Linked DNA regions of Ovis aries. The protein of the gene in region 5 interacts with the protein of the main gene of each other region in a pairwise test. Links are inferred from orthologs where the notes say so. Each region holds a gene or a part of one and is shown on either strand. Other genes may lie near its edges. The genes, in order: HOXC11, IFT20, DNM2, melanoma-associated antigen B18, HTT, PSMD4 and ZDHHC17.

Region 1 (3,958 bases), on a different chromosome or scaffold from region 5:
CACCCAATCCGAGCAGCAAGACATGGTCGCGAGGTGTGTTTTCTTTTAAATAAAGAGTCTTGGCCTCGGCGCCAACGGTGTCCACTCGCCGTGGGTCAGACACTTTCCTTCACCCCCCATTCCAGGCCCTGTCCCTGTCCCACATGGAGTCAGACCAAGGTGAAGGAGGTTGTCCAGAAAGACGTGCGGGAAACGGCAGTGGGGGCCAGCCCTGGCCACAGTCCAGTTTTCCACCCGCGGAAAATAGGCGAGTTAGAAAATAAAAATAAAAATAAAATAAAATAATTTCTCCCTTTCCCCCCTCCCCTCAAAAGGGCCCAGTCTGCGGTTACAGCAGAGGATTTCCCGAGAAATACTGCAGCCGGTCTCTGCTTAGTTTTTTTTCTTTCATCCTTCTGTTCTGAAACCAAATTTTCACTTGTCGGTCCGTCAGGTTCAGCATCCGAGACAGCTGCAGCCGCTTCTCTTTGTTGATATACACGTTGAAGAAAAACTCTCGCTCCAGTTCCCGGATCTGGAATTTCGAATAAGGGCAGCGCTTCTTGCGGGTGCGGGGGGCGTCTGGAGGGGAGGGGAGGGGGCAAGTGCGAGGAGAGGGGGAGAGAGACACGTGAGACCCGGGCGACCCCAGCCCCCCGGAGCGGCCGGCGGGCCCCTCTGCCGGCCCCACCGCCGGGCAGCCCTCCCGCCAGGCCGGCCGGCTCTCCTCCCGCGGGCGCGGCGCTGGGCCGAGCCGCGACCCCCCTGCCTGGGCGGCAAGCGCGTCCCCCGTCCCGGGCCACCGCGGGGGCCCGTGCCCCCTCCCCTCCGGCGAGGGCCGTGGCTGTGGCGGGGTCTGCGGGAGATGCGCGCCAGCCTTGGCCAAGTGCGTCCCCAAGGCCCCCCGCCCGCTCAGCCGCGCTCCTCTGCCCTCCGGGTGGCTCTGAAAACCCACCCCCTCTCCCCACCCCCAGAAATGTGGGGGGACCGCGGAGAACAGGCGCAAAGAAGTGCGATCCGGCGAGAGTCACTGGGAGGCGGGGAGGAAGCAAGAGAGCAGGCAGCAGAGACACCCGAGAGCCGCTTCCGGGGGCCCTGGCGCCCCAGGACGCCCGGCGGGCCGCTCCTTCCCCGCGGCCGGGCCAGGCCGGCGCAGAGGCCGCGGGCCGCAGGGAGACGCCAAGCCCCAGGCCTGGAGCAGAGGGGAGCCCTGAGCCCGCCTCGCCCCCACCCCCTGTCGCCGCTGACCCTCGGGTCGCTCCGGGCCCTGCTCAGGGACCCGCCAACACAGAGTTTGAACATTTCAAAAAATAGTTTTTTTTTTTTTTTTTTTAAAGAAGCAGGGCGGCCCTGGCTGGACTCCCCGGGCTCCGGCTCTGCTCCATTGCCTCTCTCCTCCACCACTCCCCCTCTCGGAGTTTCTCCCTGTCTTTCCCTTGCCCTCCCCTTTCTCCCCCTCCACCCCTCCCCTCCCTCCCACCCCCAACCCCGGCAGCCGGGCTCCCCATCCTTCCTTAAATGCTCCTCTAAGTTCACGATCAAAGTTAATATTGCCCGCGATGGTGGCGCTTTAAAAATTTTCACAGACCGAAGGAGATAACGGAGAGGGGGGTTCACCCGGTTTTTCCAAAGGGCCCTTTTCCCTCCCTCCCCACCCCTTCTCCATCGTAAAAAGTCGAGTCGTTGGGAGAGAGGGCTTTGTAGGTTATAATAAAATCCTTTGAATGCTTATAAAACTCCACATAAAATTGGACTGACCCAAAACACGAGGCCGTCCCCGCTCCCCTCGCCTCCCCCCTACCCTCGCTCGCCCTCCCTCCCTAGCTCCCTCCCTCCTGCCCGCCTGTTTCCCGGCCGCTGCTACCTACTGGGGGCGGCTCCCTTGGCCGGCTCCTTGGCCGCCGAGTGGGCTGAACCGGACGAGCTGGGATTCGTGTTCTCCTCCTCGGCCTCGGCCTCGGCCCCCGCCTCAGCCCGGGACGCCAGTCCCGAGGCCGGGGGCGCCTCAGGCTCCCCTTTGGCCTCACCCTTGCCCGGGCAGGGGGGCTCGGCGGGCGGGTCGCCGCCGCCGCAGTAGGCGTTGTCGAAGAAGCGGTCAAAGGCTTGGGGCAGGACGCTGTTCTTGTTGACTGAGGAGTAGAAGCCGGCGGGGGCGGCGTGCGGGGCGCTGGGGTGGTGGTGGCCGCCGTAGGAGCCTTCGTTTTTCATGAGGATCTCGGTGACGGTGGAAGGAGGCAGGCACTCCCGGTGCATGAGCTCGTCGGCCGCCGCATAGCAGGAGGAGTAGCTGTTCCGGGGGTGCCACTTGCCGGAGGGCTCCAGGCCGTATGAGACCTCTCGGACCGGGGGCACTTGGGCCGGGTAGGGATAGGAGATCTGACGAGAGGGGGCCTGGGGCAGGAAGGAGGAGACCGTGGAGAACTCGGGCACGTAGTAAGTGCAACTGGGCAGATAGAGGTTGGAGGCGCAGCTCCCTCGCTCGCCGAAATCGGCGCCCCTCTCCTTGCGCGACGGCGAGCAGAAGTTGCCCAGGTTGACCGAGTTAAACATCGTTCTCTTCTGCCGGCTCCAGATGGAGGTTTTGGACCAGGTCTAGCGAGGGGGGAAAATTTGGGAAGGCGAGATGACGCGTTATCCGTCTTAGTCTCTCTCCCCGAGCACGTGATCCAAAGTAGATATTGTCATATATCAGTTCGGAGCACTTCGCAGTCGTAGGAGGGGTTCTCTCTTAGGTAAGATGGGGACGTTCAGGCGATTGGTTTGCAAACACCGCAGAAACATTATGAAAATCAATTGCAGATTTGTATTCGTTTTGCTCTTGACACTCCCCTCCTCTCCATTCCACAGAGCGAGCAAAGGAGGAGAGAGAGGGTTGGGGTGGGGTGGGCGGTGGGATGGGCGGGGGCGGTGGCTAGGAGGGGGTAATTGTATTTTTTTCTAGCTGCTGCTCTTTTTTTTTTTTCCCCAGGATTGGGAGAAGGAGGAGGGTTCTCACATATGGGGGTCTTGCCTTCTCCCTGTGATCAGCCCAAGACAGAGGTGGGGATGAGGACCTCTTTCTCCGCTGCCTGATTCCTCCAGAGACGTGAATCTTTCCCCCCAACTCTCAGGGACTCTTACCCCACCAACCCGAAGAGAGTCAGTGCCTGTTTACAAGAGTTTGAAGAAGTCGATTCTTTTCCTAGCCAGGGCTGGTTATCCAGACTCGCTTTCCCCTCTGGAGGGACTCCCTGGAAGGGTATCTGAAGTTTCCCAAAGGTGAGGCGGCCCAGCAACCAGCCAGTGTCCCAACTTTGTCTGGCTTGCTGTGCTGCCGCCGGCTAGGGACTCAGATTAGTCATAAACAGTGGTAAGCAGTGAGCCAGCCGCCCAGCCGGTGCCTGGCGAAGTCTGGGAAAAACCTTCTCTAATGTTGTGTTAAATATTTAGTATGAGAGAGTGGCCCTGGGTGAATATTTCATGCCTGCCTTTATTGTCAATCAATGCACAGAAAGCTGCATCCACAGTGGCTTTTAAAATTTCAACCTCCAAGAAAAAGGTTGCAATGAGAGTCTTGGGCGTATTCTCTGTTGGGGCCCCTTTGGATTGGGTGCTCAGTGTCAGCTTCTGCGCAGTAAAGAAGCCCAGTGTTGGGTCTAGGTAGGATATGATGGGGGATCTGGGTTTGGGGTTGATATTCTTGAATGATTTGGGTGGACAGTATAGATCTCTGCGACAGACCAGCAGGGCAGTGGAAGGGAACTGAGGACCCTGGCGGGCTGTGCAGGGCCAGGGGCCACTCCCTAGTGGAAACCCCCAGCCCCACTCCTCCCTCCCCAGGGGTTGCAGTCAGACCTCGGTGGGTGCCTCTTTGCAGTTTCTCAGCCCTGCCCTGCCCTCCTCCACATCTACCAGCCTCCTAGATGGGTGTGACCCAAGGGGTGGGCTCAGTGGTTCTGCCCTCCCTTGCCTGCCTCCCTTCCCTCTGGGCACCACAGGA
Region 2 (4,300 bases), on a different chromosome or scaffold from region 5:
TAGAAGTCGAAAGGACAGAGGATGGAGAGGGAAAGCCGGGTGGAGCCAGAGCAGAGATACCCTGTGGGCCAAGCTAATGTTTGTCTTTTTTTTCTGTAGATGAGAACCAGCAGAGTTATCGTCTCCCTTCCCAGGCCACCTCGCATTCCTGGTCCAAAGGATGCCTCAATTCTGGGAAGGAAACACTGAAAACTCACCCTCATTTTGGCTTAAACACACACACAAAATAAAAATAAGAGGGCACATGCCCTGTCTAAAAAGGGAGGCAATGCTACTGAGGTCTAGCTCTTGGCTGCTAAACCAACTTGGAAACCCCCAGTGTTCCAAAGGCTACCACAGCCTGGCCCTGCACCAGTCCTTCTCTCTCATCTTCCCCAGCCTCCCCTGTTTCCCTTCCCGATACGTTAGAGCAGTTCTGTTCTGAATGGGGTGACTCTGGAAGCAACTTGCCAGGGTAGGTATACCACAGAAAGAGCAAGGGTTAAAAAGAATCAAGTTCCACTATTGCCAGAACTGACTTTCAAGAGGACCAAAAATCCAGATTTATGTATGCAATCTGACTTTTAAAGAACAGTATCTCCTTTAATTCAAAAATTTTAAGTTAAAAAAAAAACACACCCAAAACCCACATCCAACATTGTGTGGGCCAACTAACACATGTCTAGCTGTGTATGGCCCAGGGCCTTCGGTCTCACTGCAGTCCATTCAAGTAAGTCAACTAGCATCTTCCTTTTGAAACACTTTAATCATCCAGAGTTCCCTTGTAATTGGGCTTTTTAAAAAGATCTGTCTTCCTATTTGTCCTATTTACACATATAGTCTAAGTCAGGGGCCCCCAACCTCCGGGATCTAATGCCTGATGATCTGAGGTGGAGCTGATATAATAATAATAGAAATAAAGTGCACAATGAATGTAATGCACTTGAATCATCCCCAAATCATCACCCCCGCCCTGCCTCTGCCCCCTGACCATGGGAAAACTGTCTTCCATGAATCTGGTCCCTGGTGCCTAAAAGGTTGAAGACCGCTTGTCTAAGCATTTAGCACCTACCAGGTGAGTGGTAAAGAATCCACCTGCCAATGCAGGAGACACAGGTTCAATCCCTGGGTTGGGAAGATCCCCTCGAGGAGGAAATGGCAACCCACTCCAGTATTCTTGCCTAGAAAATTCCATGGACAGAGTAGCCTGACGGGCTACAGTCCAGGGGCCGCAAAAGAGTCAGACACAATTGAGCACACACACAAGTAACTAACCAGACAAACTGCTTCAAATAACCAGAGGGCACAAAGAGCTGCTTCAATTCGCACTCCCTTCCCAGAGAGCTTGCATTTATTCACAAACATCTACTGTCCCGAGGATAGAGTAGTGAAGAAAATGCTTCAGTGCTTTCAGTTCCCGACCTCTGGGCAGGAAGTAAACAAATAATCACAAATTATGATAAAAGTATGAGGAAAAGCACACGGTGCTACATGAAGCTGTAGCAGAAGGATAAAATTCATGTGGACACAAAATTACCCCCCAAAACTGCAAACAAAAGTCTTCTGAAAAAGTGACATGCTGAGAACTAAAGGCTGTCCAGAAGTTTGTCAAGTGAAGGGAGGAGGAGGTATTTCTAGGCAGAAGGAAAAGCACCTGTGAAGATGCTGAGGCTATGAGAAATGGAACCTGTAACAAGAGCCAAGAGGCTAGTGTGGCTGAAAGGCTGAGCAAGGGATAAAGAGAAACGGGATGAGGTGAGATGGGAAGGCTAGGTAGTGCTGGATGGCGGAGGGCTCTGAAAGCTGCAGTAACGAGCCTGGATTTTCTCATAAGCGTTTAACGGACAGCCTGTGGATTCTCAGCAGAGTGGCATAGTCTATCTGACTACCTGCCCTTTAGAGAGATCACCAAGACCCAGGATAGAGAATGGGTTGGAGGAAGAAAGAGGAGGGAGCTACAACTATCTTGCTCATTGCTGTTACCCTAGCATCTAACATGATACCTACACAGAAACTGGCACTCAGCAAATGTATGTGGTATGAATGACTGTGAAAACAGAGCAGGCTATTTCAGTAACCAAGGCTTGGAGCTGAAGAAGTGTTCCGATTTGAGATGTTTTGTAAGTCCAGTTGATAGGACTTAGCAAAGGATGACTGAGGCAGGGGTTTGGGGAGGAGTGAAAAAGAGTCAGGCAAGATTCCCGCGTACCTGGCCTGAGCCAGCTGCACGGCTGGAAGGGATAGTTGAATGAGAAGGGTCAGACCGGAGAAGAAGCGGAGAGGGTTCAAAGCCGACTACCGGATTCTCTCCCAACTCCCACCACACGCGCATCTGAGGAACACCGGACACAAGAGCCGGACTGAGCTCCAGTAAGAGAGGGTGACGCGTTCTCCTCCAAACCCACCCCGGGGGTCTCCCCGGAACCACGCTGGGCGCTCCGAACAGGCTCCACCCGTGGGGTGTGGGGAAAATTAGGAAGACCTGGGTGTGGAGCTCGCGTCTTCACTACGTAAACTCCTTGAACTTAATCTGAGCCGCGGTTTCCTCCTAAGATAGTTGGGAGCAGCAGCGCGTAAAGCTCCAGGCCCTAGCCGGGGGTAAAACCGCTCCCAGAGCCTGGCGGAATTACCACGTTTCTTTCGCCCCGCGATTGCTTTTCCTCGGGGCACGGGCCTGTTAGGCTAATCTCACCCCGGGCTTGCCCCAAGCCCGCCAACCCGGGGTCACGGCCTACCTGTTCACCCAGCAGCGACAGCGCTGGCGACCCAGGCTAACGTCGGAAGTCAGCGCCTCTCTCCAGTCGGCTGCCGCCGACACCCTGCCCAGCAGCCTCAGCTGCTGCCACGGCGACAGAACCTGTTTACGTCAACGTCACTTCCCGACCCCGAAGCACTTAGACCCATCAAGCCCGCAGGGCCTGCTGGGAAACAGAGGCCTGAGAGGAAGGATAACTGCCTACGAGACCCAGAGCCTTTGCGCCGGAAAGGCTGCCGGAAGTAGCTATGCTCTCAGCGCAAAATACTCTCAGGGGCCCCTCCCTCCGCCCTGATTGGATGCTGGGCCTGCCCTGCCTTCTCGTCTCAGGCTCCCGCCGGCTTGGGGCGGAGTCCTTGGGTGGAGGATGCGAGTTTCGGCCCGGGATTGCTGGAGCTCGAGCGGCCACAGTTCGGGGGCGGCACGGTGTCGACTTGCAATCCAGCTGAGAGGAGAGGCGCCACCGGGGAGGGTGAGAGCCTAGCCGGCCCATGTCCTAGGGGAAGGGATGGTTGGGTCCTGGGCTGAGCAAAGAGAGCCCCACGCGGTCTTGGGGAAAAGGCGTGGGACGGCGAAAGAGGGGTGGGGGTGGAGAGCTCAAATCCTCCCCTGGGGATGGGTGTCAGAACCGGTCTCTGTTTCTCAATAGTGAGGAGGGGTATGAATTGGGAAAGACTCTACACTGGCATGGAGAGGTTGGGTCTGGATAAATTTGCCCACACCTTTTGGATGTAGCAATAGAATTACACTTTGGATTTTCTGCTAGATCCGCCCTCTCTGACCAAGATCGGCTCCTCCCCTCGCCATCCCTGGTGTGACGAATTTCTGGGACCTTCTTTCCTTAGGACCCCACCGTCTAACACCGCCGTGATTGTTTGCCCTTTATTCCGCTTAGGTTCCCATTCGCTTTGCCTAGTGTGACACAGATAGGCCCCTAGCATCCCCAAATACCCACACACAAAGTCCGGAAGGAAGAGCTCTGAGGCTTTCAGTGGAAACTTCATTTTCACTGGAATTACCTTCTGGGGCGTCACCTGCCACAGGATTCCTGGAACCTATTGGCCTGGGCGGAATCTGAGCAACTGGAATCTCAGCTGACGTCATCCAGGGGCTCAAAGCAATTGCTTTGTTGGAAAAGAATAGATTAGTTTGGATTTGTCTTCCTTTGTTGGCAGCCGCCTAACCTTTGGTGAGCTCCTTTTCTTTGATCGTGGGGAAATTGGGGCTAGACACAAAATGCATAGAGAACTTGTTAAAACCTGTTAAGGGGTGGATTTATTCCTTCCGGGTGGGCAGTTTGGTAAAGTTATCTCATACCATTCAAGCTTAACTTACTGATTGGGCAGTCTGCTGGGGCGGGGCGCTCATCTCATCCATACTGGACAAACCACCAAAGGAGTTCAGTACTTCATACAGCACCTGTCCTGGCCTTTCCTTGGACATTCTTCCCAGGATGAACGGTCAGTCACTCAGTCATGTCCAACTTTGCAACCGCAGGGGCTGTAGCCCCCCAGACTCCTCTGTCCATGGGATTTCCCGGGGCAAGAACACTGGAGCAGGTTGCCA
Region 3 (4,245 bases), on a different chromosome or scaffold from region 5:
TGAGAGGTGGGGATGGGAGAGAGACCCTGGGTTTCCCCAACCCAGAGACCTTGATCCTTCACTGAACAACCTCTTGTAAGAATGCTCAGCTCTTTGGGCCTCAGTTTTGTGCTCTAGAAAATGGGATCATAGCGGTGCCAGCCTCATGAGGCTTCAGTAAAGTCCAATGTGTAACTTCAGAGCACTTTAATTCTGACTAGCTTTGGTTATTGATATGAAAGGAACCGGGGCTTCCCTGGTGGCTCAGCCAGTAAAGAACCCACCTGCAAAGCAGGAGACCTAGGGTTGATCCCTGGGTAGGGAAGATCCCCTGGAGAAAGAAATAGCAACCCACTCCAGTATCCTGGCCTGGGAAATCCCACTGACAGAGAAGCCTGAGGGCTACAGTCCAGACTCACAAAGAGCTGACACGACTGAGCAACTAAGCATACACACACCCACAACGGAACCAGCCTAGTGAGCAACAGCACCCTCCAAGGAGACCCACTAGGTGCCAGGCACTATGCTAAGTAAGCACTTTTAACACACCGTGTCACTACATCCTTGCAAGTCCTGTTAAGGGTCCATTAGCCCTTTTTCTGGTGGGAAAACTGAGGCTCAGAGAGGTCAAACAACCTGTGCAAGGTCACGAGGCAGATGAAATGGACAGAGCTTTGCAGACACCCACCGGAAGCCTGGGTAGGCAGGAGGATGGCCAAGCAGGGGACCCAGCCTGGGCTGATCCCAAGTCCACACCTTTCCGCCACAGTAGAAAGAGGGCATTTCGCCAGGGACACAGCAGCAAAGGAGGAAATTCATGCCGCTGGGAGCAAAACCCTAGGCCACTGTGAAGGCGGGGCGGGGCTGAGCACCCAGCTGGGCTCCACTGAGCGCCAGCCTGGTGGCCTTGGGCAAACAGCAAGTCTTTTCTGAGCTGAACCAAGAGAGAAGTCAGCTTGGGGGCTGCTGGATGAACCTCTTTAACACTGATAACAACAACAATATGAACATGATGATGACTATGACGTTATCAGGGCTTCCCTGCTGGCTGAGCGGTAAAGAATCTGCCAGCAATGCAGGAGACACATGTTCAATCCCTGGGTCGGGATGATCCCCTGGAGGAGGAAATGCTAACCCATTCCAGTATTCTTGCTTGGGAAATACCATGGACCAGAAGGCCTGGTGGGCTACAGTCCATGGGGTCACAAAGAGTCAGACACAGGACTTCACGAGTAAACTACCAACCGCCATGACGTTATCATCTGGCAGCCGCAGTCGCAAATGGAGTCCTTCCCAGAATGCAGAAGTGGCCCCCCATCTGGGAGGCAGAAGGAAAAGAGGTGGGGGGAGGAGAGGGGAGAGGTAACCACCCTCAGTGGCCACAGGGCCCATTCTCCTCCATTGGCTTTGTGAATCCTGGAAACAGCCCAGAGTGGAATTTGTCCACTGGACAGATGGGCAAACTGAAACTTCTCGGGGCTTCCCAGGGAAGGCTATATCCAAGCTTTTGCCACTGCAGCCTGATCGGGCCAGAAGTTCCTCTCAGGATCCAAGGAGGATCCCCACCATGCAGGCTTTGGCTTGGGGGCTGGTCCCCATGTTCCAGGGCCCTGCAGGCAACCTGACATGGGCCAGGAAAGACTCCTGGAAAATGTCTGCCCCCCAGGGTCCTACTTCCAATTCAAAGGAGAGGAGTTCAAGTCTCACCCTTCAGCCCCCTTCTCTTCTGCAAGCTCCTCTCATCCCCTGCCCAGAAGTGGGGTCAGGGAGACGAGAAGGACTGACACCATGACACAGAGACAAAAGGATCCACTTGGAAGCGAGGAGCCAGCGTTCGCCAGGCACCAAGTTGAAGAGGCAGCCCAGGAGAGCCAGACAACAGGGTCTCCCAGGGTCCAGCCAGCCAGTCAGACAGCACAGGCCAGCTGGGTAACCCAACAGAGGAAGAGCTAAGTCTGTGAGGGGCACGGATGGGCAACCAGACAGGACAGGGCCTTCTGGCTAGCTAGCCAGGCAGCAGGGAGCTGCCCTGCGGTCCTGGACAGATGGACAGCCAAATGGTGGTGGCGGGGAAGCCTATCCAGGACAGAGAGACAGCAAGCCAGACGACAGGAACTGCTCCAAATCAATGAGCAGCCGGCCAGACCACGGGGATCGGCCCAGTAAATATCCAGGAGACAGGTTCAGGACAGACAGACAACCAGATGGTAGAATTCACCCACTAGAGCTGGGGGCCAGAGAGTCAGAGGTCTTGCACTGCACTTCCTGGCCCACGCCCCCCAGCGCGTGGGACACCCCTTAGGTCTGGGCCGGCTCCCCAGCCCCTACAGGGAGCCCTCCACTCAGGGCGTCCCACAGGGCCCGCCCCCCTGTCCCCGTCCCGGTCGCGGGCACGCAAGCGCCGCAGTTACGCCGGCGGCGCAGGGCGCGCCATTCCCAGTCCGCCCTCCGCGCCGTAGGCCGCCGCCCGCCCGCCGTCGCCACCGAGCTCGCTCACCGGCCCACGAAGTTCTCGAGCACAGAGCTCTTGCCGGCGCTCTGGCCGCCCACCACGGCGATCTGCGGCAGGTCCAGGTGGCAGCTCTGGCCGATGGAACTGAAGGCATCCTGCAGCTTGTTGACCAGCGGGATCAGCTCTTCCATCCCGCGGTTGCCCATGGCGCCGGTGGCCCCGGCCCGAGCGACCCGCGCTCCTCGCCCGCCCCTGTCCCTCAACGACGCGGCCCCGCGGCGTCCGCGGCCGTTGCTCCCCGCCCGCCCGGGCCTCGGCGCGACGCCCGCTCCCGGCTCGGCCTCACGGTCGCCGCCTCATCCGGTTCTCAAGCGACACCCGACCCGACCGACCTCCCGCCGGAGCCCTGGGGCTGCGCCAAAAATCCTCGCACTAACTCCGATTGGCCGGCTGGGCTGTCACTTCTGCACACAAACCAATGAAAGTGAGGCACGGGCCGATTGCCGAATGAGCCCGCCCCCTGGGGCCTATTCTCTGATTCATTGGGCGCAAGAACTGTCGCTATTGTGCAAGAGCCAATAGCAGCGGCAAGCGAGTTGTCTCGGCCGGGAGGCGGTGTTTCGGGAAAAGGCATGTTGGCCCCGCCTACTAGGGGGTGTTCCCGGATAGAAGGAACATCCGCCAGTCTTATTGGCAAGCAGACCCACCAATCAACAAGGCTGGCCAATGATACTAGGGATCGGTTCTTCGCTTGACTCTATTTAGTTCCCTAAAATTTTCCCATTGGTTTATATAAATATCACTCCCTTCTATCACCCAACAAGTCAAAGAGGGTGGGATTTAACTTCTAAATCTTGACTCTGATTGAAAGCTGTATCTGTCCATCAAAAAACCTCCCCCGCCCCGTTCTAGTTTGTGAATGTTGTATGTCAAGTAGGGTCTTCTGGAGCAGAGGATAGGTTCACAGTACGCGGCAACGCGCGCCGCCTAGTGGTAGGACTCAGTGCTGATAGTCACTTGTGTTTCTGGGCTCTAAAGAAAACTACAAGTCTCAAAATGCATCTTAGCCGCGAGCTTGCAAATCAGCTCCCTGCGCGGGGTCCCAACATATTTTGAAGGTCCAAATATACTTTGATATGCAGATGACACCACCCTTATGGCAGAAAGTGAAGAGGAAAGAAAAAGCCTCTTGATGAAAGTGAAAGTGGAGAGTGAAAAAGTTGGCTTAAAGCTCAACATTCAGAAAACTAAGCCAGAGAGAAGTAGCTCAGTAAGGAGTTAGGAGCAAAGGAGGTGGGGAAGTAGTCTGACTGGGCCAGGCAGTAACAGGGGAATGGAGAAACAAGGGGTGAAAGAATGGCAGAGTGGAATTGCCTTCTTCATGACCCAGAACTGCAGGTCTCAGAGACAAGCAACAAGACTGACAGTGTTTGGCACTGCAGCCTTGACTACGGTGGCAGAAACTTGAAATACCCTAACTGCTCATCCATGGAGCTCATTAAGTAAATACTGTTTATAATCCATAAACAAAATTGAGTAAATTTTCATGTACTAAAGTGTAAACAATTTGAGATACAGTATACTAAGAGAAAGGTTGGGGGGAAGCAAGGTACATGGAGAAGGAAATGGCAACCCACTCCAGTACTCTTGCCTGGAGAATCCCTTGGACAGAGGAGCCTGGTGGGCTACAGTCCATGGGGTCGCAGAGTCGGACATGACTGAGCAACTGACACACAAAATTGAGGAGATACTTGATGGCGCTGGCCTTGGGAAAATAAAAGGTTAAGTTGTTTACTGGCAAAAAAGAAGAGCAA
Region 4 (2,812 bases), on a different chromosome or scaffold from region 5:
TTTTCACATGTCCAAAGAAGTGCCTTTTACCATGCCATGTTGTGTTGTTCTAGTTCAATATATACTAAAGGTTTCCCAATTTATGTTGCAAGATAATAAAACTCTTATATTAAATCTATTAGATTAAATCTAATATGTAACCAAAATCACTAAGTTTAGATTCTGAAATGTATATCTTCTTTAAAAGAAAACATTAAGGAAAGAAAGAAAGGAAGAGAGAGAAAGAGGAAAAAATAGAAAAAGAAAAGAGAAAAGATTAAACTCTTGTTTACTATATAGAACAGAAACACAAAGATGATATTATAATTTTCCCTGTGGGCCCACCCTGGTCATCCACAGCTTAGAATGTTACTGCTCTTTTTCAACCTAAAAAAGAAAAAAAAGAGAGAAAGGTAAAATTTTAAGTTAGCAATATATACCAGGAACTCCAGGATGGTATACACTTCTCCAGTCCCACCCTGGCCCTCCACTGTTAGAATGCTGACACACCTTTTTGAATTTCACTTAGCCTGGGAGGAGGTGCTGGCTCTGGCTCTAGAGCGGGCACTGGCCAGGGCAGCAGTACGAGCCCTGGCTGCAGCTCTGGCTCGGGCTCTCTCTTCCTCATCTCTCAAAGCCTCTTGATACCAGGATGGGAAGGCAGTGGGGACGGTATCGTGAACCTTGGCTAAAAACTCCAGGACTTTCATTTTGCTGGTTTCAGCATGGGCTCTTGGGCCCCACAGGAACTCATAGCGTGGAGGCTCACTGTTGGCCACCTGGCGGTACTCCAGGTACTTGAGCTGCACCAGATCTTCTGTGAGGACCTTCTTGGGATCCCCATAAATGAAGTGCTTCCTTTCAGCATATACACCCATCATATTCAGCACTTCCCAGATCGCCTCTTCAGGGGCGCAGTTGCCTCTCATGAAGATCACACCAAGCACAATCATCAGGATGCCGGTCTTTGGCATGTGCTCATATTCATTCAGAGCTGAATCATAGGAGAGGTCTAGTTTGTTGACAAGGGTGTAGCAGTGCCTGGTAGGATCCACTTCCTTCAAATCAACACCAAAAGCCAGCTCCATATGATCAGAAGCTCTCTTGAGGATCTCATTGTAATGACTCTTGTACTGTTTGATAACAAACTTCATCATCTCTGCCTTTCTAATTGGCTCTTTCTTTTGATACTTCTGCAGCAGGAACTGCACCAACAGAACCACTTTCTTATTTAAAATCTCACTGAGTGAGCTCTCAGCGCCCTTGGGGAAGCTTGTGCTTTCCGCCTTTGGGCTATTGATATTTTCAGCTGAGTTGGTGCCTGAACTAGCTGCAGTAGCACCAGTGGCTCCCTCAGGTGCCTCAGGAGTGCTGGGTGTCCCAGCAGCAGGCAGATTCTCAGGTCTGTCCCCAAAAACCGAAGAAGGGGACTTTCCTGCTGCTGCTGCCCCAGAGGCCTTAGCAACCTCTAGGCCCTGGGTCTCAGTACGGGCCTGGCGGCGTTTCTCACGGGCACGGAGCTTACTCTTCTGACCCCGAGGCATGATGACTGGTCAGGGACCGCAGACAGTTGCTCAAGCTGCCAAGGTTGATGAAGAGCTCACCCTAGAAGACAGAGGAAAAGAAGGCGTGTATAGCCTCCATAGGGAGATTCTTCTATCTTGGCTCCAAGAACAACTGCTTTTGTTGATCCCCTTAAGGGTACCGTTTTAAAAACCCACAAGACAGAGGCCAACGGAACTCTGTGGGCCGCCTCTGTTCATCAGGGGCTTGTCACCTTAATTCTAACCCAGAACACTGAACTTGACTCCTGACCAGTCCTTTTACGACTCCTTCTGCTGACTTGAGGCTTCCCCTTCAGACCAAGGCTTCCCATCCCACAAATTCTTCTGGTGGAAGTAGCGGGGTGTTGGGCCTAACGGTCACTTTGAGCCACTCGGGGGTTGACGGTCGGGATGGCGCAAGTTAAGATAGGGAGGGGCTCTACGGGACCACCCGAGTTCTGGGAGGAGTGTGTCCCTTTACTTCTAACAAAGATTGTCTACCTGGACACTTGTCCAATCCTGGAACTCGTCCCTCTGTAGATATACGAGGCCACACCTCTCCAACTGAAGCCTCGAGCTCCGCGGCTGCCGTGGCGGAAGGCAGGGAGAGCACTTCCGGTATCGCCCAACTAGGTTTGCCAGCATTGAGGGCGGGGGGGAATCGGTTCTGGAAGGGCCTCCCTGTCTGTCCTGGCAGGCGGAGAAATCGTGCAGAACTCACATGAGGGAGTCTTACCTGACTCCTGACAGGGCCTGGGACTTCTTCCTCTGCTGAGCTAAGTCAGCTGGCCACAGACCAGGGTTCTCATTTCCCTCGGAACCCCCAGCAGGAAGTAAGGGGTAGCCTGAGCCTAGCAACCATGTCTAGGGCCTACCAAGACTGATAGTGGGCGGGGGGGGGGGGGGGAACGGCTCTTTGTGGACTCTTATTTTGGAGTGGGCTCTCCCCTCAGTCCTCACTCAGTTTCTTACCTTGATGCTTTGTAAGTGAGCTACTAATCTGATAGGGTGCCAGACCAATCAAGCAAGGCATAAATCTATAAATAATTTAAGGGGAATTGACTACTGTACAATACTCTACTCATCATGAATAAACAGAAGATATGTTGCTCTATGTAAGATTTCTTTTACCTAAGTCTGTCAGTAATTTTTTTTACATTTACTTCCATAAACATCATGTGCATTGTTGTTCGTTTTCTTTTGACGTATCTTTTGGATAGCACTGCTGTTTTGAATGATGTATTTACCATTATATATCCTAGTTACTTATTTTGTGATAAGAGTCCTCC
Region 5 (3,500 bases):
ATGGGAGGGCAGCGCGGTGCCGGCCGGCAGCACGGCGGCCGTGTGCCCTCATCTGGGCCGACGCCTCGGTTTCAGCTGCGTGAACGTGCATAGCCAGCAGCACGTGCTGGTGATGTGTGCCACGGCCTTCTACCTGATCGAGAACTACCCGCTGGACGTGGGGCCGGAGTTCTCGGCCTCCATCATACAGGTGAGCCGGCCTGGCCTGGGCTGCGCCCGGCGACCGCTCCCACCTGGGAGGAGGCGGGCGGCCAGAGGCCCACAGCAGCCTTTTGACCCAGAAGCCCTCCCTCGCGCAGATGTGTGGGGTGATGCTGTCTGGAAGCGAGGAGGCCACCCCGTCCGTCGTCTACCACTGTGTCCTGCGGGGCTTGGAGCGCCTCCTGCTCTCCGAGCAGCTCTCCCGGCTGGACGCAGAGTCCCTGGTCAAGCTGAGCGTGGACCGGGTGAACGTGCACAGCCCGCACCGCGCTATGGCGGCCCTGGGCCTCATGCTCACCTGCATGTACACAGGTGAGCCTGGCAAGCGCGTGCCGCTGGGCGCCAGACGCAGGGGTTCTGCAGGGGCCTTCAGGCTGCGTGGGGTCAGAGCACCGTCTGGGAGCAGGGGTCAGAGCCCCATCTGGGAGCAGCGCTCAGGCCGACCCCTGTGCCCTGTGTCTCGGCTGGGCCCTGCGGGCCCCCGCCCCCGTGTCAGACCATCAGTAGGAGTTCCGTAAACTCCTGTGTGAGCTCCAGGCCCCCTTAACAGAACCGTCCAGTTTTACAAACCAGCGGCACGAAACGGCTCTGTTCCAGGAAAGGAGAAAGTCAGTCCAGGCCGAGCGTCTGAGCCCAGCCCTGCTGCCCCTGACAGCGAGTCCGTGATCGTGGCCATGGAACGCGTGTCCGTCCTCTTTGACAGGTGAGCGCGAGCCCGCCTGCCCACAGCCGGGGGCGGCCTGCTCCCTGCCCGGGCCCCGGGCTCCGCGCCGCCCCAGGCTCCGCGCCGCCGCGGGCCGTCCTGGCACCCAGCGCCCAGGTTTTGACTCGGGCGGCCCCAGGGCTGTCCCAAGTGCTGGCCCGGGTCCCGATGGCGAGGGGCAGTGTGGCGGTGTCGGGGTCCTTTGAAGAGATGTCCTGGAGTGTGCTCGGGACGGAAGCGGCTGTCCAAGCTGCCGTTGTATAGAGAAGGGCCTGGGGGCCGCGCTAGAAGCGGCTCGGGAGGAGGCTGCGCTTGTGAAAAGGAGGCTGCTCTCACGACCCTCGGACAGCGTTAACCAGCAGGCAGCACCCTTGAGAGCCTGTGACGACGGCCCGCCTCCACGTGTGTGCCCGGGTGTCCAGGACGGCTTGGGGCCCTCGTCCGGCTCTGCCCCGGGCCTCTCAGGCTGTGTCTGTGGCCTCGGGGAAGCTGGCTCTGCCCTGCGCACCTCAGCTCTGGTCAGCTCGGGCAGCAGGCGGCCATCCGGGTGCCCACGTTGCGCACACGTCACAGAGCCTTCTCCAGGCCCGCTCTGGCCAGAGAGCTGAGCGTGCACGCTGCGCCCACGTTGCCCATTTCAGTGAGCGTCCACAGTCCCACGCTTACGCTCACCAAGCCTGGGGAGCAGGCAGGGCGCCCACGCTTAGCCTTGCCGCGGGGGCTCACGCACCAGGCTTGCTGCGAGATGAGCGCGTCTGCCCGTGCAGGGCCGGCATTCAGCCTGGCCACGCTGTCACGCGTGGAGGCCTCTGGGTCAACGGTGCTGACTCTCCCTTGCGGGTTTCGTGCCTGTGGGTCATGGTTGGCGTCTGCAGGCAGGTGGAGCGGGCACACCGGGCCGGTTTCCAGGTCCCTTCTGGTACTTTTCAGTCACACGCGCCTGTTTGATTGGTTCTGGGGGGCCCATCTCCACGGGCTCCAGAGTCTGCTGATGCGCAAGCCCCTCGTGTGTGCTTGTGCAGGGGCCCCGCTTCCGCACTCCTGAGGCCTGTGTGTACTCAGCTTCCTGCAGATGGGGCTTGCACGCAGAACACGTGGACATGGCGGGCCAGCAGAGGTGTGCTGATGGCCAGTAGCCTGCTGGCTGCCCCTTGGCCCTGGGAGGGCCCTGTGCCAGGGGCCAACCACGGGTCTGCTGAGGGCAGGCAGCTGGGGGCTCTGGGGCAGGGCTGGCGCAGAGGGGGCCTGGCAGGGGCACTGACGGGTTCCAGGAGCGCAGACGTGCCTGAGGGCCTCACGAGGACGTGGGTCTGTCACGAGGGGCTGTGGCGTGCCGTGATGTCACCACCCCAGCCGTCTTTGCTGCTACTTCAGGATGCCAGCCGGTCAGGAGCCCCCGGGCTGGGGAGCACGGCGGACGGGCTCTGATCCGGGCTCCACCCCCCACCACACAGGATCCGGAAGGGGTTCCCCTGCGAAGCCCGCGTGGTGGCCCGCGTCCTCCCTCAGTTCCTGGACGACTTCTTCCCGCCCCAGGACGTCATGAACAAGGTCATCGGCGAGTTCCTGTCCAGCCAGCAGCCGTACCCGCAGCTCATGGCCACTGTCGTGTACCAGGTGAGGGGCCGGGCGGGGCGCCCAGGCGGGCGCGGGGCCCCCAGCTCCCCCCAGCTGGCGCTGACGGGGCGGCCTCGCCCGCGGCCTCCGCGCAGGTGTTCCAGGCGCTGCACAGCGCAGGGCAGTCGTCCACGGTGCGGGACTGGGTCATGCTGTCGCTCTCCAACTTCACGCAGCGGAGCCCGGTCGCTATGGCCACGTGGAGCCTCTCCTGCTTCTTCGTCAGCGCGTCCACCAGCCCGTGGGTCTCGGCGATGTATCCTTGCCTGGTCCTGGGCCCCGGACGGCCCTGCCGTCCCGTCAGCATCCTGGTTGACGTTTGCGTCAGCGTTTTGGGAACCCAAGTTCTGTAGGAAGCCCAGGTGTCAGGGTGACGCTTCCCTTAAGCCCCAAGAGAGTGAGGCACGAACCAGGAAACAGGAGCCCGTGTGTTCCCTGCTCTGAGCGGGGCTCCGGGGGGGTCCGTGGGGAGGGGAGGCCCCCAGAGGACCCCCTGTGTCTGCCTGCGGGTCCGTGCAGCTGGGCGGGCCACTGCGCTGCTTCTCAATAGCGCTTGTCACGTGCCGTGTATCACCCTCCTGGGCAAACGCTGGAGTCAGTGAAGATCCAGTTCCCGCCCCCGACACGCTGGCTGCCAAAAGGGGACGGCCCCTCCCTTCAGCCTTCCCCAGACAGACCGCAGAGCCTCGGAGCAGACGGCTGTCCCGGCGCTGGGAGCAGCCCGGGCGGGCGGCATGGCTCTGTGCTGGGTGTGCAGGAGCCCGGCCAGGTAAGCCCTGTGCGAGGGGCAGCCCCGTGGGGCGGGGGCTCCGGCTGGAGGGCCCAGACCCAGGCGTGAGGCAGCTGCCACCCAGCCCTGGGCCGCTGCTTTTGTAGCTTTGGGGAGCCCCTCGGCGCCCCTTGCTGTCCGCAGGCCTGTGTCGGGGCAGGAGCCCTGGGGGAGGCAGGAACCCCCTGGAGCACAGGAGCAGGCCTCCCC
Region 6 (3,984 bases), on a different chromosome or scaffold from region 5:
GATCATCCAGCTGCAATAGCTACTAAGTACAAAGGCTGTGGGCAAGACCAGCAGATGGATGAAGGCTGGAAGAAAGATGTCAGAGGAAGCCCTGGGAGGTGGGGGGGGGGGGGGGGGGGCAGCTGAGAGGGAGGAAGAACCTGCTGTGCAGAACACGAGAGCGGTCCTCCTGCTGTCACGAGTGTATCAGAACCACTTTGAGGGTGACGGTGCTGGCACTGGTAAAAACACAGATGCTTGCACACCTATGTGTGCACCCCTAAAAAATGCAGTTTGCTTTTCCCAACATTGAACTTTATACAGACAGGATAATACATGCATTTCCTGTGACTACTTTCACTCAACAGTAATTTTTCCCAATAAAATTTTATATCAAAATAAGGGCTGACAAAATTATCCAGCTATTCCATAAAATTTTCATTAAAAAAAAAAAAAAATACAGATGCCTAAGCTTCCCTGGCTGGGAGTCTGAGCCACCAGACCAAGCAGAATCAAATATACACAACTTTCTGAGGGCCAGCAAAGCATGAGCAAAGAAGTGGCTTTCACTGCTCTTCTATGGCTGGGCTGTTACAACAGGGTGCCAGTGCATCACTCTGGACCTAACCTTTCCTCCCATACCCCAAGCCAGATCAGCATTCTTAAATCCCATTTTGTATATAGCTCTGGCTCCACCAGCCTCAGAACGTTTTCAGTAGTCCTCCATTGAAGGGTAAAGGGCAGAATTCAGCCTCCTCAACCCGACATCTGTGCTCTTCTACCTGGCTGCATGCCCCTTTCTCCAAAAAAGGGAACCACCTTCAACCAACAACCTAATAATGAAGCCACACTAGTCCATTTTCTACTCCCTAAACAAGCCTTGAGAATGTACACTTCAGCAGCTTTCCTTATGCCCTTCTCCTTACATGTAATGGCCTCTCCTTAACATTTGTCTAAGTCCCTTCAAGGACCCTCTTAAATTCTTTCCTGAGGACTTCTTAAGCATCATGGCAACTAACAGATGCAGAGTGCTGCAGTTTACAGAGCACCACGACACACACTGCCTACCCTTGCTATGAGAAGAGTAGATGTTACTATTATATTCGCATTTTATAGCTAAAGTGAGAGATTTACTACATTCTCAAGAACATGCGGCTGGAAAGTACCCCAAACACAGGATTTTGGATTCCAAATCCTGTCCTCTTTCTACTCTTAACTTGCTTTCGTCCAGAGGCTGCCATATTTAGCAAATGAAAATACAGGGCTCCCAGAATTCCCTGGTGACACAGTAGTAAAGAGTTCGCCTGCCAATGCAGAGAACATGGGTTCGATCCCTGGTCTGGGAAGATCCCACATGCTACACAGCAGCTAAGCCCAAGTGAGCTGCAACTACTGAGCCTGTGTGCCACAACTACTGAAGCTCCGGCGCCTAGAGCCTGTGTTCCACAGCAACCAGAACCCTGCAAACCCTCACCACAACAAACAGTAGCCCCAGGTCCCAGCAACTATAGAAAGCCCAGGCAAAAGCAGTGAAGACCCGGCACAGCCAAAAACAAATAAAGAACAGAAAATACAGGACTCCCAGTTAAATCTGAATTTCAGACAAACAACAGTAACTTTCTAGTGAAAGTATGTCCCATCCAATATGTGGGACATACACATGGCCATTGTGATATTAAAAATAATTGTTTATCTGAAATTTAAATTTTACTGGGCATCCTATGTGCTATCTGGCAACAGTATCTACCCAGCAAAAAGAAAACCCTTAGGTGTCTGTTCCATGCAACTGGGGATTTGTGTGTGTTTGTGTATTATTCTGTTTTCATTCCAGGCTCACACTTAGAAGAAACTCTTGAAACCTTGCAAAAGTGTGGTCCTCAGTTTTAACAGCTAGCCAAGTCAGACTGATGAGAGCTCACTGGATAAGTGCCGAAGCGTCTTTGAGTCAGATAATCCTGAGTTTAAACCTAGGCTCCACCACTTAACCTGCTGTGTGATTCTGTGTAAGTCATTTAAAACTGCCGAGACGCGGTATCCTCATCTGTAAAAGGGAGGGAGTATTGTGAGGCTTAAGTGAGATGAAGCAAATTAAATGCCTAACATTTAGAAGGTAGCTTAGTAAAGAATCTGCCTGCAGTACAGGAAATCCGCATTCGTTCCCAGGGTCGGGAAGATCCTCTGGAGAAGGAAATGGCAAACCACTCCAGGATTCTTGCCTGGAAAATCCCAGGGACAGAGGAGCCCAGCGGGCTACAGTCCATGGAATCGCCAAGAGTCCGACACGACTTAACGACTAAGCCACAAACACTTAAAAAGTACTCTTGTAGTGCCTTTGACGGTAACACCAGGAAAAGCAAAGGAGTTAGCGACAAGTGAGTGGGGCAAGGAAGGGAGCTGAAACTCTCTTCCTAACACCCATCATTGTGAAAAGGAGAGGAAGGCAGAAGACTAGCACGGTGAGTCCGAGAAGCAGGACTCTAGCTAAAGACAGATGTAGGCTGGTCTAGAGAAGACGACGCTGTAATGGAGAAAAATAGCAGGACCGGTCAATGACTGTCCGCGGACTGAGGGTTAAGGGGGGTACCTCGGGCCCGTCCGTCGGGAACTACCTCTGGGGCCCCGGGATGACTCAGGGAGTCGCTGGAGCTCCTTTCCTCCCGGCCCAAGGCCTCATCTCTTCCACCAGGCCCCCTCGCCCACCCCAGGACCGCCTGGCCTCCGAGCTACAGGCGCCCCCGACCCAGTCCCGCTGCCCAAGGGGGCCCGAGGTGGCTCCTCACCAAACCATAGTGCTTTCCAACACCATCGTGCCTCCTTCCTCCCTCCCCGACCGGTTCTCCTAGACCACTAAACAACAGCTCCTCCAATTGGCCCGGCGCGCATCACCAATCACTGACCTCGGTTGGGCCAGCTGGTTCCGCCTTCATCCCCGTGTTGCTTTCTGGGAGTTGTAGGCGCCGCCAGAAAGAAAAAAAAAAGTGGGAGCTGTTTGGGGCGGAGGGAGGGGCCAAGTAACACAAAAAAGAGGGCCACACCTCCACCTGCCCTGCCATTCAGGTTTTCTGGTGGCGTTCCTTGCAGAGAAGAGCTAAGAAAAAACGTGAAGGAACTTCTGAAAGTGCTGAAGCTATGTCTATTCCAGCATCATCGTTTTTAAAAACTGGTGGGATGACTACTGACTACTGACTTTCCAGCTCCCCCGGTTCCCCATGGCACTTTGTTCATCAAACTACTAAGCACTTATACCTCTGAACTGCATTTGTTTGTGTATCTGTCTTTCTCATTTCATTAAGGGCAAAAGAAAGTGAAAGTGTTAGTCGCTCAGTCGTGTCCCCCTCTTTGCGACTCCATGGATTGTAGCCCGCCAGGCTTCTCTGTCCGTGGAATTCTCCAGGCAAGAATTCTGGAGTGGGTGGCAATTTCCTTCTGCAGGGGATCTTCCCCAATCCAGGGATCGGACCGATCTCCTGCACTGCAGGCAGGTTCTTCACCGTCTGAGCCATCAGGGAAGTCCCCATTAAGGGCAAGAGAAGTGTCAATCTCTGCTATCCCTAAGTCCACTACAAAGCCTGACATATGGTAGGAAGGCAGAAAAAAGTTTGATGAATCAATAATTTTAACTAATCTCCCAAAGAATGGGAGACAACCTAGTCAATCACTTTCGCTTTTTAATCAAATCACATTTTAGTGACTTCCCTGGCAGTCTAGTGGCTAAGACTGTGCTCCTAGTGCAGGGGGCCCCAGGTTCAATCCCTGGTCAGGGAAATAGATCCTACATGCCACAACTAAGACCCAGTGCAGCATCCCTCAAAAGAAGAATTACATTTTAAAATGTCTTAGGGATTTCTCTAGTGGTACAGTGATTAAGACTCTGCACTTTCAGTGGAGGGGCTGTGGGCTCATACCCTGGTGGGGTAACTAAGATCCCACATCTGTCATGGTATGGCCAAAAAATAAAAATAAAATTATTTTAATTAAAAATGCCTTGGCTGGAAATTCCCTGAC
Region 7 (3,500 bases), on a different chromosome or scaffold from region 5:
TATTATGCATTTCAAATTCCTTTAATATTTAAATAGCATATATTCCTTAGAAATTTAAGAGGCATGACTAAGAAAATACTATGGCTTATAGTCAAAATTAAACAACATTTCTTAATAAGTACAAAGTTATTTAAGAAGGCACATTATTAAAAGATGTTTAAAATTTTAAAGTCATTTCACAGAAAAAGTCTGTTGCTAAAAGACAAGTTTTAACACTGAGAATGGTTAACCAAAATTTAAGATTATCAACAGAATTTTCCTGCAGGTATTCATAAAAATGTCTATAAATTTCTAAAATGCTCAGAGTGTAAATGTTAACATTTTGTATTTTGGGGGTACATTTTTCTTGGATTACTCTAGCATTTAGGGGAGAGAAATTCTCCTACAAATATCACAGAGGTGATTATCAAATGTAAAGGTCTTGACCTTTATAAAAATAAGATAATTAATGACCAAGTCAAGAAATTACTCAAAGTTATTATGCATACTTGGGATAAAAATCTGTGATTCTCTGCAATGATATTATTTACTTAGGTTACGTGGTGCCACATGTGGGATCTTAGTGCAATAATCTTCTTAAAGAAATCAGAAAACTATCTATTCAGCTATAAAGAGATAAAAGTCAGTAAGAATTCACTAATGAAAAGGTCACCAAAATCTGAAAAATACTTCAATACTAAAAGACGAAAATAAATAAATTAGTTTTTCAAAACAAATTCTTGCATGGAAGCAAAGGGTTGAGAGTAAGTAAGTTTCTTCCACCTCTGACAGTCTATTAAAAAACCTAAGTTTTATTAAAGAATTCCAATCTTGGTAATCACATTTCACAAAGCACAATCAATAAAGGCTATTTTTACCTTGATATTCTGGGCATCAACATTAGCTCCAGCTTCCAGAAGAAGACTAATGACTGTGGTATTCCCTGCTAGTACTGCCCAATGCAGAGCAGTGTTTTTGTGATACTTGTCACCAAGGTTAACTGAAACATTGAATGTTAAAAGCAATCTAGTTGGATCCACACTGAAAAGGAAAAAAAAACACAACAACAACAACAACCCTAATTTCAATTATAGAAATCATTACAGACACTAAACTGATTGTGGTTATATTCCATCTTGGAACACTTCTATTCTAACCTATTTTCGACAACTTTATAATGAGTAATGAGACAACATTTTTAACATGAAGAATTAAGTATGTTCTACATCACAGAACGTAAAGTAAACTAGTTCCAAGAGAGAGCACACTTGGTCCTAATGTTTATATTCTACATCATGGAGTTAATGTCATTAGTATTTAAATACTTAAACAATTAAAATTTTAAATTTAAATCTAGATTGTTCCAAAAATGATTTAAGGCAACTTATTAATGTTAAACTTGCCAATATGCCAGTCATATAAAAAATGAGTTATACTTTTAATAAGAAGGTAGCATCTTCCATTCTTGGAAACTGCTTAAGACTACCTTAAGGGCACTACAATTGCCAACATAAAGGTAAACATAAAGACTCAAAATACCCAAAAGGATAATCTGTGTTATATACTACATATTCATGGTAAGAATTTTAAATACTAATAAGTATAACATTAATTGCTTTTTCTCATCACTTGTTTTACATTTTATCATGCTGAAAATGATCTGAATAAGTATTTCATAATGGTTACATACCTATGTGTTCTATAAGCTGCCCACATTAAAGGCGTCATCCCATTCTGATCCATCATATCTACATCCTGATAGAGTAAAAAGTCAGACAGTAAAAATGTCTAAGTCCCTACCACATGTACTTAGAAAAACGTAATTTACACATCACAAAAGAAGCCGACATGAGGACACCACTCAGTCAAGGTTGATTTATGAAACTTTTCCTTTCTTAACTTTAAAGTAAAACTATTCAATATTTATTAATATTAAATATTCAAATTAATATGGATATGTGTTACTTATTTATAAATAAAAACATGTATTTAATATTTAATTAACTTCTATTTATAGTTTTCTCTTTTAAGATGCTTCACTCAGCCTTTTAAAGATCTTGACCTACCCTTGATCTTTCACCCACAATGGACAGATTAAATAAATGACTTCTGTCTCTGAAAAACTTATTTATATTAATTCATGATATGAGGGAATAATAAAACCCTGTTTATTTCTAGACATTTTAAAACACAGAATAAATTCAATAAATTTTAAAAGAGTCAAATGTTCTGAATCTACTAAAATTTACTGAATTTGTTCCTTGTTTTAAAATGCTTCTTATCACTATATCACTATGCATAAATATTTTTAGAATTAACTATCTAGACAAAGTCTGTGGTGAAAAAGCAAGGTAATAAAGCAATCCTTTGTCTTAGTCCCTACCATTTTCATTTTTTAAAAACTCATTATTTATTGTGCTTTTTACTCCCACATACTTAAAATAAAAAACCTGAATTGGCACTTTTTGATTTTTCAGTTTCAGGCATTATCCTCAACATCCATATTTTACACAACCTCAGCATGTAAAATGGCATGTTCTCTCTCTTCTCACTGGCCCATCACAGGCATGCACCTTTCCTAGTCCTTCCTCTGAAGAGATAATAATTCAGGTTCTGTAAATATTTGATGCTTACATTATTATAAATATATATGAATACTATTCCCAACAAAGTTATGTAGAAACCATGATTACTTTTTCTCTCCTACCCAGCTTTTTGCTTTCCTTGGTACTCTATTTTTTTCTCCCTTTTGCTTAATTTTTTTTTTTCTTTTTAGCAAATTAGAATTAAAACTACAACCTATTCAACCCAAACTCTTCTCAAGTTATCTAAAGCTTCTTTTAAGACATGCTAATGTATCAGAGACTCTATTCATTTCACTTCCCTAAAATTCTTTCTTGACCCACTCCAGCAATCAATTTGGCTTGATTCTGCTATGTACCTGAGGCATCTGTCTCATTAACTAGAACAGGACTTCTTTAAAGATCAAAATTGTTTTAAAATCATCTTTGTATCTACTTTTCGGGGCACGGAGAATAATCAAAAACCATCTGTTAAATGAAAAGACAAGTTTATCTATCTACTCTTCTAGGCTTGGGAAAGGCATGGGTGTTAGAACAAGACAGACATGATTTTGAATTCCTAGCTCCATCACTTACTAACTGTAAAATTGGCAAAATTACTATAATTCTCTGAACCTCAGCTTTCCCATCTACAAATGTGAATACAAATAATGGCTTCATAAGATCCCTGATGATTAAATGGAATGATGTGTGTAAGGCAACCTAATCCTATAACAGACATTCAATAAAAATTGTTTCCCCTTCATCCCGTCCCCATCTCCTATTCCTGGACTACATCAAACCTGCAGATGTTATCCAACATATGCTGTCTAATCCACCGCCCAGCGGAGAGAACGTAGTCATAGTGCGTGCACTGTTAGAACGCTTCATAACTCTACGTGCAGTTCTCTGCAAGCCACTCTCACTGATGGGAGTATGTCTCCAACGTCCAAATATATT

The links.
Region 1: the proteins of HTT (region 5) and HOXC11 interact in binary tests that used the Homo sapiens proteins (3 or more experiments, as listed by UniProt). The link is inferred for Ovis aries from reciprocal best matches to the Homo sapiens genes HTT and HOXC11.
Region 2: the proteins of HTT (region 5) and IFT20 interact in binary tests that used the Homo sapiens proteins (3 or more experiments, as listed by UniProt). The link is inferred for Ovis aries from reciprocal best matches to the Homo sapiens genes HTT and IFT20.
Region 3: the proteins of HTT (region 5) and DNM2 interact in binary tests that used the Homo sapiens proteins (3 or more experiments, as listed by UniProt). The link is inferred for Ovis aries from reciprocal best matches to the Homo sapiens genes HTT and DNM2.
Region 4: the proteins of HTT (region 5) and melanoma-associated antigen B18 interact in binary tests that used the Homo sapiens proteins (3 or more experiments, as listed by UniProt). The link is inferred for Ovis aries from reciprocal best matches to the Homo sapiens genes HTT and MAGEB18.
Region 6: the proteins of HTT (region 5) and PSMD4 interact in binary tests that used the Homo sapiens proteins (3 or more experiments, as listed by UniProt). The link is inferred for Ovis aries from reciprocal best matches to the Homo sapiens genes HTT and PSMD4.
Region 7: the proteins of HTT (region 5) and ZDHHC17 interact in binary tests that used the Homo sapiens proteins (3 or more experiments, as listed by UniProt). The link is inferred for Ovis aries from reciprocal best matches to the Homo sapiens genes HTT and ZDHHC17.

The regions. Positions count from the first base shown.
Region 1 is NC_056056.1:132,539,316-132,543,273, forward strand, and holds the start of HOXC11 (homeobox protein Hox-C11), read right to left. Parts: upstream 2,801-3,958; 5' UTR 2,530-2,800; coding exon 1,848-2,529; intron 562-1,847; coding exon 329-561; 3' UTR 1-328. UniProt on the Homo sapiens protein: Sequence-specific transcription factor which is part of a developmental regulatory system that provides cells with specific positional identities on the anterior-posterior axis. Binds to a promoter element of the lactase-phlorizin hydrolase gene.
Region 2 is NC_056064.1:19,762,925-19,767,224, forward strand, and holds the start of IFT20 (intraflagellar transport protein 20 homolog), read right to left. Parts: upstream 2,801-4,300; 5' UTR 2,715-2,800; intron 1-2,714. UniProt on the Homo sapiens protein: Part of intraflagellar transport (IFT) particles involved in ciliary process assembly. May play a role in the trafficking of ciliary membrane proteins from the Golgi complex to the cilium.
Region 3 is NC_056058.1:13,045,420-13,049,664, reverse strand, and holds the start of DNM2 (dynamin-2), read right to left. Parts: upstream 2,801-4,245; 5' UTR 2,638-2,800; coding exon 2,477-2,637; intron 1-2,476. UniProt on the Homo sapiens protein: Catalyzes the hydrolysis of GTP and utilizes this energy to mediate vesicle scission at plasma membrane during endocytosis and filament remodeling at many actin structures during organization of the actin cytoskeleton.
Region 4 is NC_056080.1:24,366,450-24,369,261, reverse strand, and holds melanoma-associated antigen B18, read right to left. Parts: upstream 1,571-2,812; 5' UTR 1,524-1,570; coding exon 501-1,523; downstream 1-500. UniProt on the Homo sapiens protein: May enhance ubiquitin ligase activity of RING-type zinc finger-containing E3 ubiquitin-protein ligases. Proposed to act through recruitment and/or stabilization of the Ubl-conjugating enzyme (E2) at the E3:substrate complex.
Region 5 is NC_056059.1:116,328,161-116,331,660, reverse strand, and holds part of HTT (huntingtin), read left to right. Parts: intron 1-75; coding exon 76-190; intron 191-299; coding exon 300-513; intron 514-798; coding exon 799-904; intron 905-2,358; coding exon 2,359-2,521; intron 2,522-2,616; coding exon 2,617-2,777; intron 2,778-3,500.
Region 6 is NC_056054.1:101,142,702-101,146,685, reverse strand, and holds the start of PSMD4 (26S proteasome non-ATPase regulatory subunit 4), read right to left. Parts: upstream 2,801-3,984; 5' UTR 2,786-2,800; coding exon 2,760-2,785; intron 1-2,759. UniProt on the Homo sapiens protein: Component of the 26S proteasome, a multiprotein complex involved in the ATP-dependent degradation of ubiquitinated proteins.
Region 7 is NC_056056.1:112,711,772-112,715,271, reverse strand, and holds part of ZDHHC17 (palmitoyltransferase ZDHHC17), read right to left. Parts: intron 1,735-3,500; coding exon 1,670-1,734; intron 1,021-1,669; coding exon 858-1,020; intron 1-857. UniProt on the Homo sapiens protein: Palmitoyltransferase that catalyzes the addition of palmitate onto various protein substrates and is involved in a variety of cellular processes.